3 linked regions of the Arabidopsis thaliana genome follow. The protein of the gene in region 3 purifies or fractionates together with the protein of the main gene of each other region. This does not show direct contact. Each region holds a gene or a part of one and is shown on either strand. Other genes may lie near its edges. The genes, in order: IMD1, GSA2 and AT5G65620.

The links.
Region 1: the proteins of AT5G65620 (region 3) and IMD1 fractionate together in Arabidopsis thaliana (co-fractionation; one large-scale study listed by BioGRID). This does not show direct contact.
Region 2: the proteins of AT5G65620 (region 3) and GSA2 fractionate together in Arabidopsis thaliana (co-fractionation; one large-scale study listed by BioGRID). This does not show direct contact.

Annotation. Positions count from the first base shown.
Region 1 is NC_003076.8:4,574,201-4,577,953, reverse strand, and holds the start of IMD1 (isopropylmalate dehydrogenase 1), read right to left. Parts: upstream 1,832-3,753; 5' UTR 1,735-1,831; coding exon 1,506-1,734; intron 1,419-1,505; coding exon 1,289-1,418; intron 1,209-1,288; coding exon 1,097-1,208; intron 1,013-1,096; coding exon 848-1,012; intron 771-847; coding exon 684-770; intron 606-683; coding exon 489-605; coding exon of another isoform or gene 487-488; intron 400-486; coding exon 292-399; intron 211-291; coding exon 4-210; coding exon of another isoform or gene 1-3. Other genes in the region: MPL1 (Myzus persicae-induced lipase 1), read left to right, coding at 3,541-3,741. UniProt on the Arabidopsis thaliana protein: Involved in both glucosinolate and leucine biosynthesis; catalyzes the oxidative decarboxylation step in both leucine biosynthesis (primary metabolism) and methionine chain elongation of glucosinolates (specialized metabolism).
Region 2 is NC_003074.8:18,047,648-18,051,400, forward strand, and holds the start of GSA2 (glutamate-1-semialdehyde 2,1-aminomutase 2), read left to right. Parts: upstream 1-1,923; 5' UTR 1,924-2,049; coding exon 2,050-2,226; intron 2,227-2,484; coding exon 2,485-2,658; intron 2,659-2,735; coding exon 2,736-3,380; intron 3,381-3,480; coding exon 3,481-3,753. Other genes in the region: DCF (HXXXD-type acyl-transferase family protein), read left to right, coding at 788-1,648. UniProt on the Arabidopsis thaliana protein: Transaminase converting glutamate 1-semialdehyde (GSA) to 5-aminolevulinate (ALA). Involved in the biosynthesis of tetrapyrroles.
Region 3 is NC_003076.8:26,219,829-26,223,581, reverse strand, and holds the start of AT5G65620 (Zincin-like metalloproteases family protein), read right to left. Parts: upstream 1,754-3,753; 5' UTR 1,674-1,753; coding exon 1,248-1,673; intron 1,162-1,247; coding exon 994-1,161; intron 900-993; coding exon 776-899; intron 701-775; coding exon 624-700; intron 534-623; coding exon 390-533; intron 296-389; coding exon 65-295; intron 1-64. Other genes in the region: AT5G65613 (uncharacterized protein), read left to right, coding at 2,597-2,938; AT5G65610 (uncharacterized protein), read right to left, coding at 2,554-2,732, 2,821-2,985, 3,230-3,286, 3,647-3,753. UniProt on the Arabidopsis thaliana protein: Oligopeptidase degrading short peptides from 8 to 23 amino acid residues. Plays a role in the degradation of transit peptides and of peptides derived from other proteolytic events. Does not exhibit a strict cleavage pattern. Binds salicylic acid.

The sequences.
Region 1 (3,753 bases), about 22 Mb from region 3:
TACATTTCCAGGGGAGTAGATGTCTCCGGTTCTGAACCCTTTGTTCAGAGCATCCACGACAGCGTCTTCAATCCTCTTTGCAGCCTTTTCTTCTCCAAGTCCATACTTCAGAAGCATCGCCGCGCTGAGAATGGTGGCCAATGGGTTTGCCTTGTCTTGTCCAGCTATATCTGGTGCTGAACCATGTATAGGTTCAAAGAGTCCAGGTCCCTGATTTCATCACAAGTTTAACATTTCGCATTAGTTTATAAACAGGAGGAGCCTTGAAAGATGTTAGTTAATTTTGTTTACCGATTCACCGAGACTAGCAGATGGAAGCATTCCAATGCTTCCAGTGATCATTGAAGCTTCATCAGACAATATATCACCAAAAATGTTATTGGTAACGATTGTGTCAAACTGCATTGTTTTAAAAACACCGTGAGTACTAGTTCCACTTCTGAGTTAGCTTAATCAACGACTAAGTTTGATATATGTGCGAGAAGCACCTGTTTCGGGTCACGAATAAGCTGCATTGCAGCATTATCGACATACATATGTGATAGTTCAACATCTGGATATTCAGAGGCTAAAGCTGTTACTCTTTTCCTCCACAATATTGATGCCTACATGAAACAAAGAAATTTGCATTTCGTAAAACACACAAAAGTGGAAAAACAATTCAGTGAACTAACAGAACGTACATCCAACACATTGGCTTTGTCAACAGAACAAAGTTTGCCACGCCTTTTCCTAGCAGTCTCGAATGCTACACGAGCAATTCTGTCAATCTGAAGAACATAAATCAATGCATTAATATCCATACATTGCCAATATTGTCACAGAGCACAGTGTGAAGGGTTATTACCTCGTGAGCAGCGTAGATCTCTGTACTAACGCCGACTTCTTCGCCATTTTCATTGATCGTAATGCCTCTTGGCTCTCCAAAGTAAATACCTCCTGTGAGCTCCCTAACAATCATCATATCAACACCTTCTGCTACTTCTTTCTTCAGTGTGGAAGCATCAACTAGCTGAACAAGCAAAACAGAAACATTTGAGTTTATTTACAACTAGAAGCAAAATTCAAGTGCTAAGCAAATCAAAACCGAAGATACCTGTGGCAAAACTGTAGCAGGTCTCAAATTAGCAAAGACTTTGAGATCTCTTCTAAGGTAAAACAGAGCCATCTCAGGTCTCAGATGTTTCTCATTCTTGTCCCATTTGTACCTGAACAATAATCATCCAAACCTCAAGATCAGAATAAATTTGGAAGCAGATTGCTAAAGAAACAGCACTCACACACATACCCTCCAATAGCTCCAAGAAGAATGGCATCAGATAGTTTTGCAGCCGTGAAAGTTTCCTCCGGCAATGGAACTCCAACCAAATCCAAGGCTGCTCCTCCGACAGGCATCTCCTTGAAATCAAACTCCAGTCCTGTGATACAAAAGCAAAGACACAATCATCTACTGGCTAAGCAAACACACTCGTTGTTTCCAAAAACCATTGAGAAAGAGAAAGAACCTTCGAGAGATCCAGCTTTCTGAAGCACATTCTTAGCAACAGAGATAACTTCTGGACCGATACCGTCTCCGGGAAGCAGAGCGATGTTATACCGTTTTTTCCCAGGTGAAGCGGCGGCGCACCTAATTCGATACGGCGCACGAAACTGATGATCGGTGAGAGAACTGTATTTCCCCGGGACGATCTTGATCGCATTCAGACTGATGTTCGTTTGCAAAAACGCCGCCATTTTTTTTGGGAGTTAGCAAATTTGAAATTGTGTCACAATAGTTATATAACATAAAGAGTTTGGTACTTAGATAGGTGTGCACGTTTTTTGAATTACGCCATTAAAGATTTGTTTTTTTAAATGGCTTAAATTATCCTTTTTACCTATAAACTGGCTCACCAGCTAAACCATGCCATTGCTTGTTTAGGAAAAGAAGAAGAAGAAGCGCCACTATAATTGGGCCTTTACCAAAGATTGGCCCATTTTAAAGTCGAAATATTGGGCCGCTCTTATAGCCCATCAAAGTACCAGGAGAAGTTCTTAAAAGTTAAAACGTAGTAGTAGAGGAACAATAACGGCTGATTATTTAATTTTATGATCGGATATTCGGATTTTGTCAAATCGTCTGGTTAGTCCAAGGATGAACACGAACTGTTTTTAACATAATACTTCTATAACAAAAATAAATTTAAAGTAACTAAATTAAAGCCTAAATGACCAAAGATTCTTAAATATTTGCAAAAAACAGAAACGAAAGGCGAGGCAAATCCACCACACCACGTGAGAGTTATGACCAATTTTTGATGTTTTCTGAATATGATACGTATCATAAAAAGTGTGTTCATACTTCATAGGGGATAGGGATAATAGTATAATACTATATTGTTGAAGTGTGGACACACAAATAATATGAAAGCAAGACTTTGTATATAAATTATTTGGAACATTGTGTACCCCCAAATTATTAATCATTATCCAAATTTAGCATGTCTCGAGGTTTTTTTTCTTTTTTTTGTATTTTTGACTACCGGACACTGTGTGCATGCAGGGTGTGAAACGAAAGCGTACCGATGTAGAATTTTTTTTTTTTTTTTCTTTCTTCTTTGAGTTCGAGAAGAAACAAGTAACGGAAACTGATGTCATAGTCCATTTATCCGTCCCTACAGCATCTACAATCGCCTTTAACAGTTTCTTCTTTCGTCCTATCTTCTTTTTATCACTCCACATTAAAACAAAATGATATTATTACAACATTTGTATGATTTTTTTAAATATATTTTTTGCTTATGAGTTATTATAGATCTCAGGAATTTAACATTTTTCTTTTCTTAATTTTGTTTAGATTGCCTTGCTAGTTGCTATTACTATTCACTCATTAAATTAATGTGTATATATAGGATATGAAATTGTCTCCATCAAGTTTTGTGTTTTATATATCTAGGCTGTGTAATCGATACAAATATACAAACCAGAGATCTTGTTTTTAAAAAAAATTAGTCAGCTCTTTTCTAGACTAAGCTATTGGATGTATCTCCTTTACTATTCTTTTCTTCACATTGAAAACATATGGAAGTACTTTTATTATCATGAGATCTTCTATTTTTTTTTTTCTCTTTTATAAAGATTATTTTCCATTCATCTCAGTTCCACGTATTATTTTAAATGTTTATCATAATAACCTCGCTCTCTCAAAAAAGTTAGAAATCATGGCATGGTCACACTGATCATCCCTCCACTTATATATAGAAACTTTAGTAAATGTTGTATCGACGATAGCAGTGGATGATTCACCACTTCTAGAAACTATTCATAAATGCTTGTCTTATTTTTTGTGCATGATTCAATTCTTAATTTATGTTTACACACCATAAATTGTTTTTTTTTCTAAATAAGTTTTTGTCTATCCATAGTTGCTAACGTGGTTTTGCATTTTTATAAATAGCTAATAATTCCATTTTCTATTATCTTATCCGTCACCCCTTCTCTCTATATAAAACCATTTTCACTTTCCTATAAACGTACGTGATAACCCCTATATATATCTCAATGGCCGGTTCGGTTATGGTTCCGTCCGTTTCAATCGGTTTAGCCTTATCTGTCTTAATCTTCTTCGCTCTTTCCCTCAAGACCCTTGAAGCTCGTGGAACCTTCGGCAGGCTTGCCGGACAGCCACCGCAGAGGACTGCTGCCGGCGGCATATGCGCTTCTTCTGTTCACATATTTGGTTACAAGTGCGAAGAACATGATGTACGTACGACA
Region 2 (3,753 bases), on a different chromosome or scaffold from region 3:
GTTTATTGCAGAGACAAAGGAACGTCGTTTTGTTTGTTGAAACAAATTTAAACCCTAAATCCCCAAATCGATTTATTATCTGCGATTTTGAGGTCAAGGTGGGTCTGTGATTTTGAGATAATGAAATCGATTTGGGGATTTAGGGTTTAAATTTGTTTCAAGACAAAACGACGATGTTTTGTCTCTGCAATAAACGACGTTGTTTTGTTCTAACAGAGCAAATAAACGAGACATTAACGCCGTAAATTTTTTCTGTTAACCTATTTAACGACATGACTCAAATGGCAAGTCAACAAACACTTTGTCATTTATTTCGAAAGTCAACAAAAACTTTACGATTTATTTATCTTCCGTGAAGTTCAAAATTAAATCGTCCCAAATTTGAAAGACATTTTTCCCGAATATCATTTATGAATTATGATACAATGTTACTAAAAAAATCATTTTTATGTCTCATGCATGTAGTAACGAACACACACTAATATAGTAACAAATGATCAGACGTTACTCTTAAAAACTAGAGTGGTCATCATGTTCAAACTTTAAGGTACATTAGACCATCTAATTAGAACCATGCGTAATTAGTATTGTTAAGTAACCAAAAGAAATAACGACGATCAATAGTAAGTTTTTTTTTTTTGTGTGTGTAACCAATAGGTAGTACTTAAGTTAAATGTATATTATTTCATTCCTATTTCTTTAAATTGGTATCGATTCATTCTAAAATGTTGCATGGATTTTTTTTAACATCTTTAGATAAAGTTTTATGTTCCGTTTTTTTTTTCAGGTGACAAATTTCAAATGTGGGGGTTTTGTCCTAGGACTAGGCATGAGCCACAACATGTTCGATGGAGTCGCCGCTGCGGAGTTCCTCAACTCGTGGTGCGAGATGGCCAAGGGTCTTCCTTTATCCGTCCCACCATTCTTGGACCGTACGATTCTCCGGTCACGAAACCCTCCCAAAATCGAGTTCCCACACAATGAATTCGACGAAATTGAAGATATTTCCGACACCGGAAAAATCTACGATGAAGAAAAACTCATCTACAAATCATTTCTTTTCGAACCCGAAAAGCTTGAGAAGCTCAAGATCATGGCGATTGAAGAAAATAACAATAATAAGGTATCAACATTTCAAGCCTTAACCGGGTTTCTTTGGAAATCAAGATGCGAAGCTCTACGGTTTAAACCGGACCAACGGGTTAAGCTTCTGTTTGCGGCGGATGGACGGTCAAGATTCATCCCACGTCTCCCGCAAGGATATTGCGGGAACGGGATTGTGTTAACCGGTTTGGTGACATCATCGGGAGAATTAGTTGGGAACCCTCTTTCTCACTCGGTGGGTTTGGTCAAGAGACTGGTGGAGCTGGTTACGGACGGCTTCATGCGGTCGGCTATGGACTACTTCGAGGTGAACCGGACACGGCCGAGTATGAACGCGACACTTTTGATTACATCCTGGTCAAAATTGACATTGCATAAACTGGATTTCGGTTGGGGAGAACCGGTTTTCTCTGGACCGGTTGGTTTACCAGGGAGGGAAGTGATCTTGTTCTTACCAAGTGGTGATGATATGAAGAGTATCAATGTGTTTCTTGGCCTTCCTACTTCAGCTATGGAAGTGTTTGAAGAGCTTATGAAGATCTGAAAAAGAACATACATTTTCATAATCAAATTATGATATATTCTACCAAATTATAAGCAAAGGAAAATTATAATCTAGTCATTATTTATACATGTTATATTTGAATTCACGTTTGTATCCATTACAAAAATTTATGTAATTCGCAGAAAATATATATATGTCAAATTAAGTTATCGGACCGGATCGGGTCAAAGAAACCGGATTGGTTAACAAAGTCAAACAAACAAATATTGACTTGAGTTTCAGATTCCAGTAAAATCAAACCGGATCGGGTCTGAATTTAAACCACCGGGTCGGCTCCATCTAAAATCTGAAGATCATCTCCGCCTTATCTTGTTGACTATCTCTGTACTACTTACGAGCGCAAGTGAGAGAGTAACAGAGAAACGTAGAGATATAGCAAAATGGCTGCGACGCTTACTGGATCAGGGATTGCTCTAGGGTTTTCGTGCTCCGCAAAGTTCTCTAAGAGAGCTTCTTCGTCGTCCAACCGTCGCTGCATCAAGATGTCGGTTTCGGTAGAGGAGAAGACGAAGAAATTCACTCTTCAGAAATCTGAGGAAGCTTTCAATGCTGCGAAGGTTAGGCTTTTCAATTTCCATGAATTCAGTCAATAAGAAATGTTTCTTCAGATTGATTACGCCTTGATGTTCTGTTGCTTTGGTTTTGTGGGATTTGATCATATTTTTGGTTAAAGTGATTATCTTTGTTACCCTTCAAGGAACATTGCTAACAAAATAAGATTACTTGAGATAGAATCATAATCTGAGATAAAGTTTTTGTTTTTATTGGTTTCATTCTGTTCTGATTATTGAAATTGGTTTGGTTCCTTTGTGTAGAACTTAATGCCTGGAGGTGTGAACTCACCTGTACGTGCTTTCAAATCTGTTGGTGGACAACCAGTGGTGATGGATTCTGCAAAGGGCTCACGAATAAGAGACATTGATGGAAATGAATACATTGACTATGTTGGATCTTGGGGACCTGCTATAATTGGTCATGCTGATGATGAGGTTTGTTTCTTTCCAGTTTTGATGATTTTTAGATAGCTGAAAGTTTAGTAGTTGATACGGTGATGTGTCTAGTGCAGGTTCTTGCTGCTTTGGCTGAGACAATGAAGAAAGGAACAAGCTTTGGTGCTCCTTGTCTCTTAGAGAATGTTCTTGCTGAGATGGTGATTTCAGCTGTTCCAAGTATTGAAATGGTTCGGTTTGTTAACTCCGGTACAGAGGCATGTATGGGTGTGCTACGTCTTGCTCGTGCCTTCACAGGGAAACAAAAGTTCATCAAGTTTGAAGGTTGTTATCATGGTCATGCAAACTCTTTCCTTGTCAAAGCAGGTAGTGGTGTAGCTACTTTGGGTCTACCTGACTCGCCTGGGGTCCCCAAAGCAGCTACTTCAGATACTTTAACAGCTCCATACAATGATATTGCTGCTGTTGAGAAGCTTTTTGAGGCAAACAAAGGAGAGATTGCTGCCATCATTCTTGAACCTGTTGTTGGTAACTCGGGTTTTATTACACCTAAACCAGAGTTCATTGAGGGAATACGCCGGATCACTAAAGACAATGGTGCTCTTCTTATTTTCGATGAAGTCATGACTGGTTTTCGTTTAGCCTATGGTGGAGCTCAAGAATACTTTGGAATCACACCTGACTTAACAACTCTTGGGAAAATCATCGGTGGTGGTCTTCCTGTGGGAGCATACGGTGGAAGAAGAGACATCATGGAAATGGTAAAGCTAGAGTTGTTAACAATTGAACCGAATAATCTTTTGAATTTGCTGCAAGAGATTGAGAAAGTCCTGATCCTTTATCACTCATGTCTTTTTGCAGGTTGCACCCGCAGGACCGATGTATCAAGCTGGTACGCTAAGTGGTAATCCGTTGGCTATGACAGCGGGTATACACACGCTGAAGCGGTTAAGTCAGCCAGGGACATATGAATACTTAGACAAGATCACAAAAGAGCTTACAAATGGGATACTAGAAGCCGGGAAGAAAACCGGGCATGCGATGTGTGGCGGTTACATAAGCGGGATGTTCGGTTTCTTCTTCACGGAAGGACCCGTCTATGATTTCTCGGATGCAAAGAAGAGTGATACAGAG
Region 3 (3,753 bases):
AGAAAGTCGCATTAAGCCAATTAGAAAGAAAAAAGAACAGTTTTACTTAGGTTGATGACTCTACCTCAGCGTAATTGTTGTAACCAAGAAGCTTAGCTTTTTCCAAGCGAAGCTTCAAAATCTGGTCAATAATTGCCGTATTATCCAAATCGCCAGAAGAGGCACGAGATAGGTAAGCACGGTAGACTTCCTCACGCAGAGCACGGTTTTTAGCATGTTGCATGACAGGAAGATAACTAGGAGCATCCAGTGTAATGATCCATGGTCCATTCTCAGCAGTTGCATTTTCATGGCCCTAGTGTCACATATCAAGAAGCAAAAATTAACAAACCTTACTAAAAAAATAACGAAACATGGAACTTTATATATCTTTCAGTTAATATTGATACCTTGGAGACAGCTGCTTGTGCGAATAGCCCAAGAGCAGATGGAGGCAATCCCTCGATCTCTTTCTTGTCTGTTATCAACTTTTCAAATTTCTTTGTTGCATCCAAAACATTCTCAGAAAACTTATGGGAAAGTTTTTCGAGTTCCTACAATCAAGAAAAAAACAGCGCGTAAGCATAAGCAAAGTTGTGACAAACATAGAACCAATTTACCAAGTAAACTGATTTACATCAAACCTGTTCAATTTTATTAAACTCTTCTCTCTTTTCATCATCAAGAGCAATACCAATGAGAACCGCCTCCTTTATTTGAGCTGAAATTCATACTGAAACCAAAGTTATCACATGAAAGAAACGTTGTTTTAATGTTCCAATAAGAAACTACTTGCCTTCTACTAAGCGTTGACGAGCTTCACTGAGCGATGACCAATCAGGAGATTCACGAATAGCTTTAAAGGCATTGTAAATAGGCTTGCTTTGCCCCAACCTGAGCTGGAACTTCACTTTCTCTGGCTGCATAAGACCAATGTAGTTAAGTAAAACAAGATATAAATCCCCCAACTCACTGAACTAACACACAAAAAACAAGCATGATTAGTTATTCAACCTGAACGTCTTCGATGGCAGCACGTAGCTCAGGTGTGTCCTTGACAGCCTTAAGGTGATTGATCATTCCCCAAACAACAGTTAACCGATCAACGATTTTCTCTAATGGTTCCACCAGTTTTGGCCATGTTGGCTCCACAGATTTCTCTAGCTCCTCCAATTCAGCTTCCTGAAAATCAATCAAAGAGGCTATAACAATCGAATCAAAAATACATGAATCTGTGAAGAAAAACGAAGAAGAAGGTGTGAACATACGAGATGCTGCAATAGAGCACGAATCCCAGGACGAACATGACTGGCATCAACGGAATCAAACGGAGGGAAATCGAAGTCCTGCAAGAGAGGATTCGAGGAAAGAGTCTCGTCGGAGACGACGGATTCCACGGCGGCAGCGGCGGCGGAAGACATGGACGGAGGAGAGGAGAAGGGGCGGAAAGAGGAGGAGGAGAGAGAGGTGGAAGTGGTGGATCTAGGAGGAGGGAGACAAAAAGAGAAAGAAGAAGACCAGATGGGGCAAGGATATGATTTACGAAAAGTTGAGGGACGAAAATGACAAGAAGAAGATGAGAAATATTTGGGTTTTGGCGATCGACGAAGAAGATTGAGAGAGGCTCGAGACGTTGGAGTCGCCATTAACATGTTTGCTATTACAAGCGTTGCCATTATTCTTATTCTCTTCATTTTTATTTTTATTTTTTCTTATTTTCTTTGAGATTTTTTGGGTTTGGATTTGACTAAGTGTGACTACATGCGATTATGTTGTGAGGTTCCAAAGTCGATGATATGTTAATCGATGTGCCAAAGGGTAATCTTGTCAAGTCAAATTGAAATTAAAACATCTGTTTACGAATATATTTATTGTTTTTGAAATAGTTAACAAAAGCTGGAATAGCTCAGTTGGTTAGAGCGTGTGGCTGTTAACCACAAGGTCGGAGGTTCGACCCCTCCTTCTAGCGTTTTTTAACTCTTCTTTTTCGTCCTTTTTCTTTTACCGAAAACTGTTATGAAGTAATGGGCCTCACAAGTTCACGAGTCACGGATACATAATAAATAACTTGTTCGAAGAGAGCATCCCAAGAACAAACACGACACGTTCAAGATATAGTGTGATAGTGAAGTAGCTCTGTGTGTTGTTCCCCAAATACTACGACCACGTAATCTGGCAAGTCTGATCCCTTGTTCACTAAACCAAATATGTTTTAACTTTACGCTTCTTTTAAAAACAAAAGAAACAATGAAATTTATATCATTTGATGAAACCAAACAGGAGTTAAAACTAATAACTTCACATTGACATTGTACCACAATTTTACTACCAAATGAAGATAGGTAGGTACATTACAACCAAAAAATGTTGACTAATGACTAGTGAAAACTTCCAAGTTTCAATAAATGAATGCTTCCCATAAATGAGAAATTATGAGCTGCCAAAGAAAAAACGAGAATTATGATTGGACCGCTTAACCATAACCAGCCAAAATCTACATTATTTTCCAACTTTGCTTGGTAATTCATTTATTGTTAGCTCTAACTCTTTCGTCGATTATAAACCCCATATTTCTCACTCAATCAATAAAACAATCTCTCTTTTATTTTTGCAAGAAATGGATAGAGTTCTCGCCGACAACCGTAGACAATCGTACTCCACCGGTCGATGCTTGAGTTCGCCGTTATCTTGTCTCATCCATACAGAAGAAACAGAGTACGCTCGAATCAGTAACCACAACAACAAGACAAGACCTAGTCCGAAGTTAAGGGATTTGATGAGAAGATTATTATTGGTTAGAAGTTGCGGATTGGAGAATAATAAATCGAAAACGTTAGTTACGTTTCACTACGATGCTGTGAGCTATTCGCAGAATTTCGATGATGGTTTCTATCTGCGCGATGCCGATGATGATCCTAAGCTTTTTAGAGATCTTCCAAAACAGAGTCCGGATCACTGATCTATGCTCTGTTTTTTCAATTTTATTTTTGTATGCACCCCTAAGTTCTGTGTATTACAAATGTTCCCTATCGTGTACTTTTATTTATTTAAGTATATACCCCAATAGTTTTGGTTTATAACATGTGTACCCTATGTTTTTTTCTACACTCTACAGTTTTGTTGGTTTCGTTTTCTTTTAGCATTTGTTTAGACCTTCTTAGCTTGAGAAAAATTCAATCATGTTTCCATGTTGCACTTTAACATCTCTGGTACCAAATAGGCGTAATTGAATCGAACAATGCTCTTATACTTGTGGTTAGTGTTGGTTCGTCTACGTTATGCTCTCGTAAAGTTACTATATGGGATCCTAAAACAGGGAGGTCCACATAGATTTAAAAGAATATTTAAACAAAGTTCAGTGCTAGTGATCTGTTGAATGGACTCTTAAAATAAACCCTCTTTTCTTGACCGTTGTTTAGTTTTTAAATTGTGTTATATTTGTGAGTGTAACGTTTGAAACAACCAACCAACCAACCAGAGGCTATTGCAAGTTTCCAAACCATGAATCTTTTGACGGTTTAGAAAAAGGGATTAAGGCAAAGAAATATGAGGACATCACTAAAAGAGTCTCATAGCATATCTTCCAAGAACAAGTTGTACATCTTTATGCATCAGAATCTTGTCTACTTAAAAGCTTATCTGTCTCTCTTCCTCCATCGCTACGAACCTCTATTTGATAATAACTTAATTAACTTGTTAATCTTGCCATTAACCACAAAATCATTAACCTTGTCTCTTTCCATCTCCCTCAAATCAAATTCAGCTCTAGCGACC